Linked DNA regions of Arabidopsis thaliana. The protein of the gene in region 1 interacts with the protein of each later gene in a pairwise test. Each region holds a gene or a part of one and is shown in the gene's direction. Other genes may lie near its edges.

What was found.
Region 2: the proteins of AT5G53360 (region 1) and WRKY20 interact in a two-hybrid assay, tested with the Arabidopsis thaliana proteins (one large-scale study listed by BioGRID).

The regions. Positions count from the first base shown.
Region 1 is NC_003076.8:21,645,906-21,650,183, forward strand, and holds AT5G53360 (TRAF-like superfamily protein), read left to right. Parts: upstream 1-1,917; 5' UTR 1,918-2,192; coding exon of another isoform or gene 2,193-2,369; intron 2,370-2,470; exon of another isoform or gene 2,471-2,572; 5' UTR 2,573-2,579; coding exon 2,580-2,915; intron 2,916-2,998; coding exon 2,999-3,364; 3' UTR 3,365-3,662; downstream 3,663-4,278. Other genes in the region: CLPX (CLP protease regulatory subunit X), read left to right, coding at 3-59, 355-425, 526-625, 722-826, 917-979, 1,060-1,182, 1,276-1,437, 1,527-1,598; PMEPCRF (pectin methylesterase PCR fragment F), read right to left, coding at 3,778-4,278. UniProt on the Arabidopsis thaliana protein: E3 ubiquitin-protein ligase that mediates ubiquitination and subsequent proteasomal degradation of target proteins.
Region 2 is NC_003075.7:13,436,236-13,442,833, reverse strand, and holds WRKY20 (WRKY family transcription factor family protein), read left to right. Parts: upstream 1-1,837; 5' UTR 1,838-2,140; coding exon 2,141-2,368; exon of another isoform or gene 2,369-3,059; coding exon of another isoform or gene 3,060-3,071; exon of another isoform or gene 3,072-3,360; coding exon 3,361-3,516; exon of another isoform or gene 3,517-3,808; coding exon 3,809-4,313; intron 4,314-4,403; coding exon 4,404-4,560; intron 4,561-4,644; coding exon 4,645-4,800; intron 4,801-5,064; coding exon 5,065-5,536; 3' UTR 5,537-5,829; downstream 5,830-6,598. UniProt on the Arabidopsis thaliana protein: Transcription factor. Interacts specifically with the W box (5'-(T)TGAC[CT]-3'), a frequently occurring elicitor-responsive cis-acting element.

The DNA.
Region 1 (4,278 bases):
AGATTGTAAATGTACCTGAGAAAGGCGCTAGGAAACACCCTAGAGGTGACAATATCCAGGTTTGTCGTGCTTCACTCTACTCTGTATGTTCTGGCTTGCACCTTGCACAAACAACAAAGGCTATGCATATGTATTTGTTCTATCGTGAAATGTCAATATTTTTATCATACTCTAATATTATTGATTATGTAGACAAAAGAGATTTCCAATTTAATGTTCTTTGCATGGTGATTGGAGTGTTAGGGTTTAAAATTTGTAATCGACATGGTTTCTTGTTTTCTTGTTTAAGTTTGATTAGTAGTCTCCCCTGTAAATCATCTGTTTTTTACATGCGGTCTTGTTGACTATCTACAGATAGACACAAAGGACATACTCTTCATATGTGGTGGTGCTTTTGTAGACATTGAAAAGACTATCTCAGAGAGGTCTGACTGATGAACATATTTCAAATTCCTCCGTTTTTTGTTTCTATCCTCTAAACTGAATTGCGTTATAAGCATATGAGTGTGTTTTTTTTGGTTCCAGGCGCCATGATTCTTCAATAGGGTTTGGTGCTCCTGTACGTGCCAACATGAGGGCTGGTGGTGTTACAAACGCCGCTGTTGCATCAAACCTAATGGAAACTGTAGGTCTTTTCATCTCTTCACTCACCAAATGTTGGGTGTTCTTCTACTTGTTTTGGTTTGTATCGAAGTTTGAAATGAGATGTTTGCTGTTGCAGGTGGAAAGCAGTGACCTGATTGCTTATGGTTTGATTCCTGAATTTGTTGGACGATTTCCAGTTCTCGTCAGTTTGTCTGCTTTGACTGAGAACCAGCTTATGCAGGTACTAGGAATGACATAAATATGTGACATTGTGATTTTTGCATTACTAGACCATGTTCATAGAATATGCAGTAATATCATTGGATTGCAGGTGTTGACAGAACCCAAGAACGCTCTTGGAAAGCAATACAAAAAGATGTACCAGATGAATAGTGTAACTACTAATCTCTCTATCTCTATCTCTCTCCTTCTGCTCCAAAGCTTGAGACAAGTCTCCATCTTCTCTTTCTTCAGGTAAAGCTGCATTTCACAGAAAGCGCACTGCGGCTTATAGCTAGAAAAGCAATAACGAAAAACACGGGTGCTCGTGGCTTAAGAGCTCTTCTAGAAAGCATCCTCATGGACTCTATGTACGAGGTAAATACACCTCTTATTACTTTCAAATCCGTTTTGCTAAAAATCCGTATTCAAACTCTTTTCACATTTCTGCAAAACATTTGTTTTTCTCAGATTCCGGACGAGGGTACAGGCAGCGATATGATAGAAGCGGTTGTGGTGGATGAAGAAGCAGTTGAAGGAGAAGGGCGTCGAGGCTCTGGAGCTAAGATTCTCCGTGGTAAAGGAGCATTGGCTCGGTATCTCTCTGAAACCAATTCCAAAGATTCCCCACAGGTAAAAACCGAGCTTTTACTTAACCGATAACAACTGTCTGGTTTGTTTGATAACCTCATTATCTGAATTGCTTGGCTTAATTGTTGCAGACGACAAAGGAGGGATCGGATGGAGAAACTGAAGTGGAGGCAGAGATTCCATCTGTTGTAGCAAGTATGTAATGATCACCACCATCATCATCATCATCATCAGAAAATGTGGTGAATGTATCTTTGTATGCGTAATATTTACCGTTCTTTGTACATAAATGAAGGAAAGAAAAACAAAGTTGGATAAGAAAACACAAGGATGCACAACTTGCACATTGATAAATGATGATGTAACAAACTTTTTATCGTATGCAATGTCCATCTTTTCATTGATGTATCTTATAATTCAAAGTATTCAACAAGAAAACGCTCTTGTAACAAATAATCTTATTAGGAAAATTCAAACACCCATGTGTCAGATTCTAATAACCGTCGGATTAAAATCCAACCAAAAAGCTTTAAATCTGGACGGGTATAATTAATTCCTCAAACTTCTTCTCTGGAAGAACAAAAAAAGATGAAACAAAGCCAACGAAGAAAAGCACAATTTTGGCGAAACCCAGTGAGAGAGAGACAGAGAGAAAGGAGGGAAATTCCAGCTTCCCTTTTCTCTCTCGTTCTTGCTCTTTTGATCTGCGTGAAAAGAAAGAATTTTTATTTTCCCGACAGAGAAAAGTCCCAATTTTTAAAATTAGGACTTTTTGATTTTCGAAAATTTTGGTGTTAATGGAAACAGATAGTATCGATTCCGTGATCGATGACGATGAGATCCATCAAAAACACCAATTCTCATCAACCAAGTCTCAGGGAGGAGCCACCGTGGTAATCTCTCCGGCTACAAGCGTTTACGAGCTCCTTGAATGCCCTGTCTGCACCAATTCAATGTACCCACCAATCCATCAGGTTCGTATCTCATCATCTCCTAACATTGGAGGGTTGAGAAAGATCTTATTGCTTCTTACGAATATAAAGTTCCAATTTTTATGATCGTTATCTTCAAATGATCTGATTTGTTTATCATTGCTATGGTATGTTACTATTGAGTTTCTTGAGGGTTTATGGATGTTTTGATATATGTATGAGTGAAAAAGTTTCTTCTTTTGTAGTGTCATAATGGACATACTTTATGTTCAACCTGTAAATCAAGAGTGCATAATCGCTCTTGAGAAAGTAGCTGAGTCGCTTGAGTTACCGTGCAAGTATTACAATCTTGGATGCCTTGGGATTTTCCCTTATTACAGTAAACTAAAGCATGAGTCTCAATGTAACTTTAGACCTTATAGTTGTCCATATGCTGGCTCGGAGTGTGCTGCTGTAGGTGACATTACTTTCCTTGTTGCTCATTTAAGAGATGATCATAAAGTCGATATGCATACTGGATGTACGTTTAATCATCGTTATGTTAAATCTAATCCACGCGAAGTAGAGAACGCTACTTGGATGCTAACGGTTAGCATTGTTCTTGTTTATGATTTACGAGTTCTTCAGTTGTCTGAGATTCTGAGGGGGTTCTTTGTTATATTGTTTTGTAGGTGTTTCAATGTTTTGGTCAATACTTTTGTCTTCATTTTGAAGCGTTTCAGCTCGGTATGGCTCCAGTTTACATGGCGTTTCTGAGATTCATGGGCGATGAAGATGACGCACGAAACTATACATACAGTTTAGAAGTTGGAGGCAGTGGGAGAAAACAGACATGGGAAGGGACACCAAGAAGTGTCAGAGATAGTCACAGGAAAGTCAGAGACAGTCATGACGGTCTTATAATCCAAAGAAACATGGCACTCTTCTTTTCCGGTGGAGACAAGAAAGAACTGAAACTTAGAGTCACTGGAAGAATCTGGAAAGAGCAACAGAATCCAGATTCTGGTGTTTGCATAACCTCTATGTGTAGTAGCTGAATCAAAATCAGCCAACCCTTCAAACCTATCTTAAGGTGTTCGTTCGATTTCTTCAATTCGATTTTGTTTCGGGTTTGTGTGTTGTTTTGGTCCAGAATCCAGATAGCTTCTTTACATTCAAAAGTGTATTTAGAGAAGTAAAAAGAGTTGTTCCATTTGCCAGAAATGTGCAGAAGGTCACAAAAGTTGCAATAACTTCCAAAGATTGAATATTTCCATAAATGTATATATTCACATGGTAAGATCTGAGCAAAGATCTAATACAGTAACATATTCAAATCATATCTTTATTTCATTCAAGAAGATGTCCTGTCATATAATAAGTACACTTAAAATGGCTTATGGACTATATTACAGATCTTGAGTTTGTACATAAAATCATTCGTATACGTAACATACAAGGCTGAGACAATCTATTGTGACAACCCGGAGAAGAAGGACACACCGGTGGATGGCAACCACGAAGAACCAGAAATGAACTGAGCCACCGTAAACTTACTAGCCTCTACCGTTGAGGTAATAACATGATAACCAGGCCATTTGACTCGTTGACCAATTCCTGAACCCAACCCTTTGTTCATATACTCACCATAGTACAACGAGTCCAATGCAAACGGACCATTCCACTCCAACCATCCTCGCGGGTCAATATGGTCACCCATATCCGACATCATGTACACAACTCTAGAATACAACTTCCACGGACGGCCGAGATACGTCGGATAACTACCCTTAGAGGCTTCAAGATCCGGTGTTGCTAGTAGCTTACAAGCATGAATCGAAATCCCCGTATTCTGATTCGGATCTTTTCGGTTCTGAGCCGTAATAGTAATCTTCTGCTGAGCCATTGGTTTACGCGCATAAATGTTACAACTCTGTAAGATCACAGCCGCATTCCCGAATATAAAATCGAC
Region 2 (6,598 bases), on another chromosome or scaffold:
AAAGGTCTCCTCCAGCACTTGAGTACAAGATCACCATTCTTCGAGGTATATGCCAATATATCGTGAACTTTAAATAATTCAAAATCTTAAGTACACCAAACTAAAATAGTGAAACCACCCCTTTTTCTTGGTCAAATGTTTGATCAAAATTATGATGATGGTGTGGTTATGTGAAGGGGACAACACCTTTTTGAACTTTGGAAATTTTCATGCAAACTTTTCCGTTTCTAGATTTTCTTAGAGTTTTTTAATTACCAAAAAAAAACAGTTATCGAGTTTTTCCTTATTTCTTCTGTTAATCTAGACATTAAATTTAATATGTAAAAATGACAAGACTATGTATATGATATGAGTGTTGCACCAAGAAAAAATTACTATCTAAAATCTTCACTAGTCACATATTTTTGAATAGTTATGATATATTTTCTGTTGCTTTATCATTTTACCGAGTTACCCACTTTCGAATTATCAGTTTTTATCAAAACATGGATTGATAATTATTTAAAATACAAGTAAAACAATTGTTGGTTTAGAAAAGAATTACATAGTTTTATTCTGAAACGGCATTGAACAGTATTGAGAGATATATACACATATTCTTCTTATCTTTTACACATTTTGGAAGTTTTACAACCAAAGAAACATGTTTTTTTTTTTTTTTGAAAAATTCTCTAACAAGATTTGAGGTGGACCAACTTGGATCCAGAATGTCACCACTCACCATTATATATCCTAACTGTTATCCACGCAAATAGAACACAACCGCTACCCCACAAGATAAACCAATAGCTTAAATTTTTAACAAAAAAAATTCGATTCAACTCCCACATAATTTGGTAGGTAATTTGACTCAAGGGCCTAGGCCCATTTAAACCAATGAAAGAAACTGAGAACGGCCCAAAGATATCTCACACATATCCTCTCTATATAATACATAATCATAGCATATCAATTTCATTATCACCGATCAAATTAGGGTTTCTCTTTCGATTACAGAGTTTCACTTGTTTGGAGCCAACAATCATACTCTGCAACCAAAATCCAAAACAAGAAAAAAATGGCCTGTCTCAACGATGATAAGAAGAAGAAGTTTCACCTAGTCCTTGACTTGGACCACACGCTTGTCCACTCGGTACTTGTTTCGGACCTTTCCGAAGAGCAGAAGTATCTAATCGAAGGAGCTGATTCAAGGTCAGATCTGTGGAGAATCAACAGAGATCCACTCCCAGCGAATATATGATAAAGCTACGACCTTTTCTTCATGAATTTCTATTAGAAGCCAACAAGCGTTTCATCATGCACGTATACACAATGGGTGATTCTAGTTACGCTCAGACCGTGTTGAAGTGGATTGATCCGGAAAAAAATATACTTTGGAGATCGAGTCCTAGCCAGAGAACAAAGTCCTTATGAGAAGACACTCGATCTTCTTGCTGTTGATGAGCGTAGAGTGGTAATTGTCGATGATGCGATTGATATTTGGCCTCATCACAATAGAAACTTGTTACAAATCAGCAAATACATTTATTTCAGCGTCGGTATTGAACTATTGATAAACATCGCAGAAGATAAGATAGACGAGAGTCGAAGCAACGGATCATTGGCGCACAAAAGATTCAAAAAGGTAAGTTTTAAAAGACCTGAGACTGTTGATACCTGATCCTTAATTATCATCAACAATACTGCTTCTGACTGTGTCAATCTACCAATGCTACAACACTCTTACTTTGAGATTTAGGATGTTTCTGGTTCCAACAACTCTTTAAACAAGCAATTTTGATTACACTAACTTTTTTATCTTTTACATTTTGACAAATGTACATGAGAAAAAAAAAGAGGATTGTTTACATCTTCTAATTGTTTTTGTCAACTTTAACGTTTGTTGTTGTTGCTTTAGAAATTGATAAAGCTAAATAAAGGAGAAAAAGAAGAAGAAGAAAATAAATTATTAAAAAAATGAAAAGGAAAAACAAAGAATTAAGAGAGGTGTGAAGTCAATATCGTTCTTTCATCTTTCACTACAATCTTCACTAACGCAGAGACCAAAATCTCTCTCATTTCGCCATAGCTGAGAGCTTCTTCTACTTTCCCTTAGCTTCTTTTTTCCTTCATTTTTGTTCTACCCTTGCGAATCTCTGAAATGAACCCTCAAGCTAATGACCGGAAGGAGTTTCAGGGAGATTGTTCGGCGACGGGAGATCTCACGGCAAAGCACGATTCAGCTGGAGGAAACGGAGGTGGAGGTGCTAGGTATAAGCTGATGTCACCGGCCAAGCTTCCGATCTCGAGGTCGACTGATATCACGATTCCTCCTGGGTTGAGTCCGACTTCGTTTTTGGAATCTCCTGTTTTCATCTCCAACATCAAGGTTTAAGCAGCTACTTTACTATCTCTTTCTTCTTCTTCTTCTTCGATTTTGGTAAATGCAATCACAGTTTCACCTCATTTTTGTTGTCGATTTGAGAAATTAGGTTTTCTGATTTCATATTTTTAAGACCTAAAGGATTTTTCATGAAATTGGATTGTGCCATTTTGAAACTGAGTTTGGAATTGGAATTGATTCATAACATTGACATTTTGTCCCACTTGTTCGGTTTCTCGTTGCTTCAATTTCGATTTGGATCACTGTTCATGTTAGTGGGGAATTTCTGGTAATTTGGTGGAGATGCTCTCTGCTTGCTCACTAGGAAAAACATTGGACTTGGGTTTCCATTTTTGTTTCTTAGTCCATTACAAGTGATTAAAAAACTATGATTTGTTTGCTTACGTTAGGGACTTTGGCCAAGATTCTGATTCTTTGTGCTACTATACTCTGCATTGGTTTGCATTTGTGTCCGTTCAGATTGTTCTTTCGAATAAACCTTTTTTTTTTATCATGTTCTATTGGTGCTGGATACTTTATTTATATCCTCTTGCTCTTTGTCGTTTCTTCTTCATACTGTCTAGTGTCTATCTTCCATGTGTTTGGTGCTTCTCTTTTCTTTTTCCATTCTTTGTACATTTAGGTTTCGGTTAGCTGCGTCTGTGTGGGGATTCCTTTTACTTATATGAGCTATTGAATGATTCTGTTGGTGAGAAAATGTACTTTACTCGCATGTTCACCATTTAGATCTATAGAGTATTCGTTTTGTTCAATTAAGTTATGAATAATAGGTTATATGCTATGTGCTCAATTTTATTTTGCATCTCTTAGTTATATCTTCTTATCCCTTGATTGAACAAGATATTGTTTTTGTTTTTAGAAGACTGTTTTTTTTAAAACATCATGTTTATTGATAGATCAGGTTCATGTTTTACAAAATCTGATATGTATTGTTTTATTCATGCCATTAATAATATGCCACTTTCTTTAACTTTCAGCCAGAACCTTCCCCTACTACTGGTTCTTTGTTCAAGCCTCGACCAGTGCACATTTCTGCTAGCTCAAGTTCTTATACAGGCAGGGGGTTCCATCAGAACACCTTTACTGAGCAGAAGTCCAGTGAATTTGAGTTCAGACCTCCTGCATCAAATATGGTATTGTCCAAAACAATGCTGTTTGTTATGCTTTGCATGTAATGTACTGTTCAGATAGTCGACGACATATGAACCCCGAACAGTGGCTGACCTAATTTTTCTGCACGAAGTCTATTTATTCAGCGCTTGGATTGCTTGTAAATCTCAAAATCTTTCGCCTTTGCATACATATAATACCATGCCAGCCTTAAATTGTTTCATAAGGAGCCTTGTATCCAAAAGCTCACAGTTTATAAGTTACTTGTATATTGTTGGGGGATGACTTTGTCTAAACATCTTTATTGATTTCAAGGTATATGCAGAGCTTGGCAAGATTAGAAGTGAGCCACCAGTACATTTTCAAGGCCAGGGCCATGGATCCTCACACTCACCTTCTTCGATCAGTGATGCTGCAGGTTCCTCAAGTGAGCTAAGCCGGCCAACTCCTCCTTGTCAGATGACACCAACGAGCTCAGATATTCCGGCTGGATCTGATCAAGAGGAATCAATCCAGACTTCCCAAAATGACTCCAGAGGAAGCACTCCATCCATCTTGGCTGATGATGGTTATAACTGGAGAAAATATGGTCAAAAGCATGTCAAAGGGAGTGAATTTCCCCGGAGCTATTATAAATGTACACATCCTAATTGTGAAGTGAAAAAGTTATTTGAAAGATCTCATGATGGGCAGATCACCGATATTATATACAAGGGTACACATGACCATCCTAAACCTCAACCTGGTCGCCGAAACTCTGGTGGTATGGCTGCACAAGAAGAAAGGCTAGACAAGTATCCTTCTTCAACTGGCCGAGATGGTAATCATAACTAAAACTTGAGACAAATATGCACTTACTCCCTTGGCAATATCTATAACTTTTTCCTTCTACTCTTATGTCTGCATACAGAGAAGGGATCTGGCGTCTACAACTTGTCTAACCCCAATGAACAAACTGGTAACCCTGAAGTACCTCCTATCTCAGCATCTGACGATGGTGGAGAAGCGGCAGCGTCAAATAGGAATAAAGATGAGCCGGACGATGATGATCCATTCTCAAAACGGAGGTATTAGAGTTTAACAAAGGATTCAGGTGCTTGATTTGAATCTGTGATTTGACATGATTAAAACTTTATTTTAACTTTATGTAGGAGGATGGAGGGTGCGATGGAAATAACTCCACTAGTGAAACCCATCCGGGAGCCTCGGGTTGTTGTTCAAACTCTGAGTGAGGTTGACATTCTGGATGATGGTTATAGATGGCGCAAATATGGGCAGAAAGTCGTAAGGGGGAACCCAAATCCCAGGTTTGTACAGCATTAAAGCTTTTAACACCCCAAAAAATTCCTTGCTTTTTTCTCGAATGAACATACATAAACATAACTTGCGAGTTCAAAATGGTAGCTAGAACAGTTTAGTCCTTGTCTTCAGGACCTAGTTATTTGACATGTGCATAAAGTGTTGCTTCTTTTAGGAATTTGGTTTGGAATATGGAAGATAGTGATCTTAACAGACTCAACATGTGCGCAATGGAGATATTATGTTTCATGATGTTCCTCGGCCTTTTGTAGGAGCTACTACAAATGCACAGCTCATGGATGCCCAGTGAGAAAACACGTGGAGAGAGCATCACATGATCCAAAAGCTGTAATAACAACATACGAAGGCAAACACGATCATGATGTTCCCACTTCAAAGTCTAGCAGCAATCACGAAATCCAGCCTCGGTTCAGACCAGATGAAACAGACACCATCAGCCTCAATCTTGGTGTTGGAATCTCATCTGATGGACCTAACCACGCTTCCAACGAACATCAGCACCAGAATCAACAACTTGTCAACCAAACTCACCCAAATGGAGTCAATTTCAGGTTTGTTCATGCTAGTCCCATGTCATCCTACTATGCTAGCTTAAATAGCGGTATGAATCAGTACGGCCAGAGAGAAACAAAGAACGAGACTCAAAATGGTGACATCTCGTCCTTGAACAATTCATCTTACCCATATCCGCCCAACATGGGGAGAGTACAATCGGGTCCGTAAAACAAAAAGTAAGCAACATTATGTACGGGATCTTCTTAGGTTAGGAATGGGACGAGGCCTTGTTCTATATAATTCCTATTTCTTCACAGAGAGCTGATCTTGATTCAAACTATCTCCACCATATATATTTGTTTGTGTCACCTGTATTGAGTTCCAAAAATGTTATGTAAAAATACACAACAAGATGTTAATGCTTTTATTTAAACAAGAAACAGCAATATTACTACAAACTATTTCTTCTTCACCGTAATTAGATATGCTCCATGAAAGAAACACCACGACGGTACTTAAGCTACGTGGTCCTTAAGCAGACAATTACAACTGTTGCCCGTTTTTCAATAATAGTTTCTCAACTTTTAGTTCTAGACTTCTAGATTTGTCAAAAACTCATAATAATGAGATATAAATACTTCGACTAGGTGATTTACCATGGGACAATATTAAACTTTGTTCAATTATTTGGAAGGTTATACTATACAGTCTCTATACAAAATTAAGAGATTTGTGCAAGAAGTAGATTGGCAATTAAAACAGTAACCTTATTCTCTCTTACATGTATCTAGATTATTTGGTGGAAGTTACAATCTCTAATTTCATATTTAGAACTTTTTTTTTTCCGAAGCATTTACTGTTGTTAAAGACAAACATATTAGATTCTTTTAGATCATAGTACCCGTTAAGCAAATAAAAATTTTGTCGCTATCAAACTAATGACATTATAAGTCATTTATAATCATCGTCGTCAAAATAGTCTTGTTTTTTTCACCGGACCAGTGAATCATTTTCATCTTTTGCGGAAAGGTAAAAATCGGATTATCATGTTAATTTTTTTGCAAAAATTGACAACGCTATTTATGGTAGCGGATCGAATCCATCATAAAAAATATTTAAATATAAAATAACAAAATTTGTTAAAGTCACTTATACAATTCTATTCAATTAGATCATTTTACCTAATATAGCGTTGTTTAAATCAATTATAATTGAACATTCAACGAATTCGTTAAATTTCTTTAAAAAGAAGTACATTTTAAGAAAGAGTTTGTTTTAATCATTTGTTCA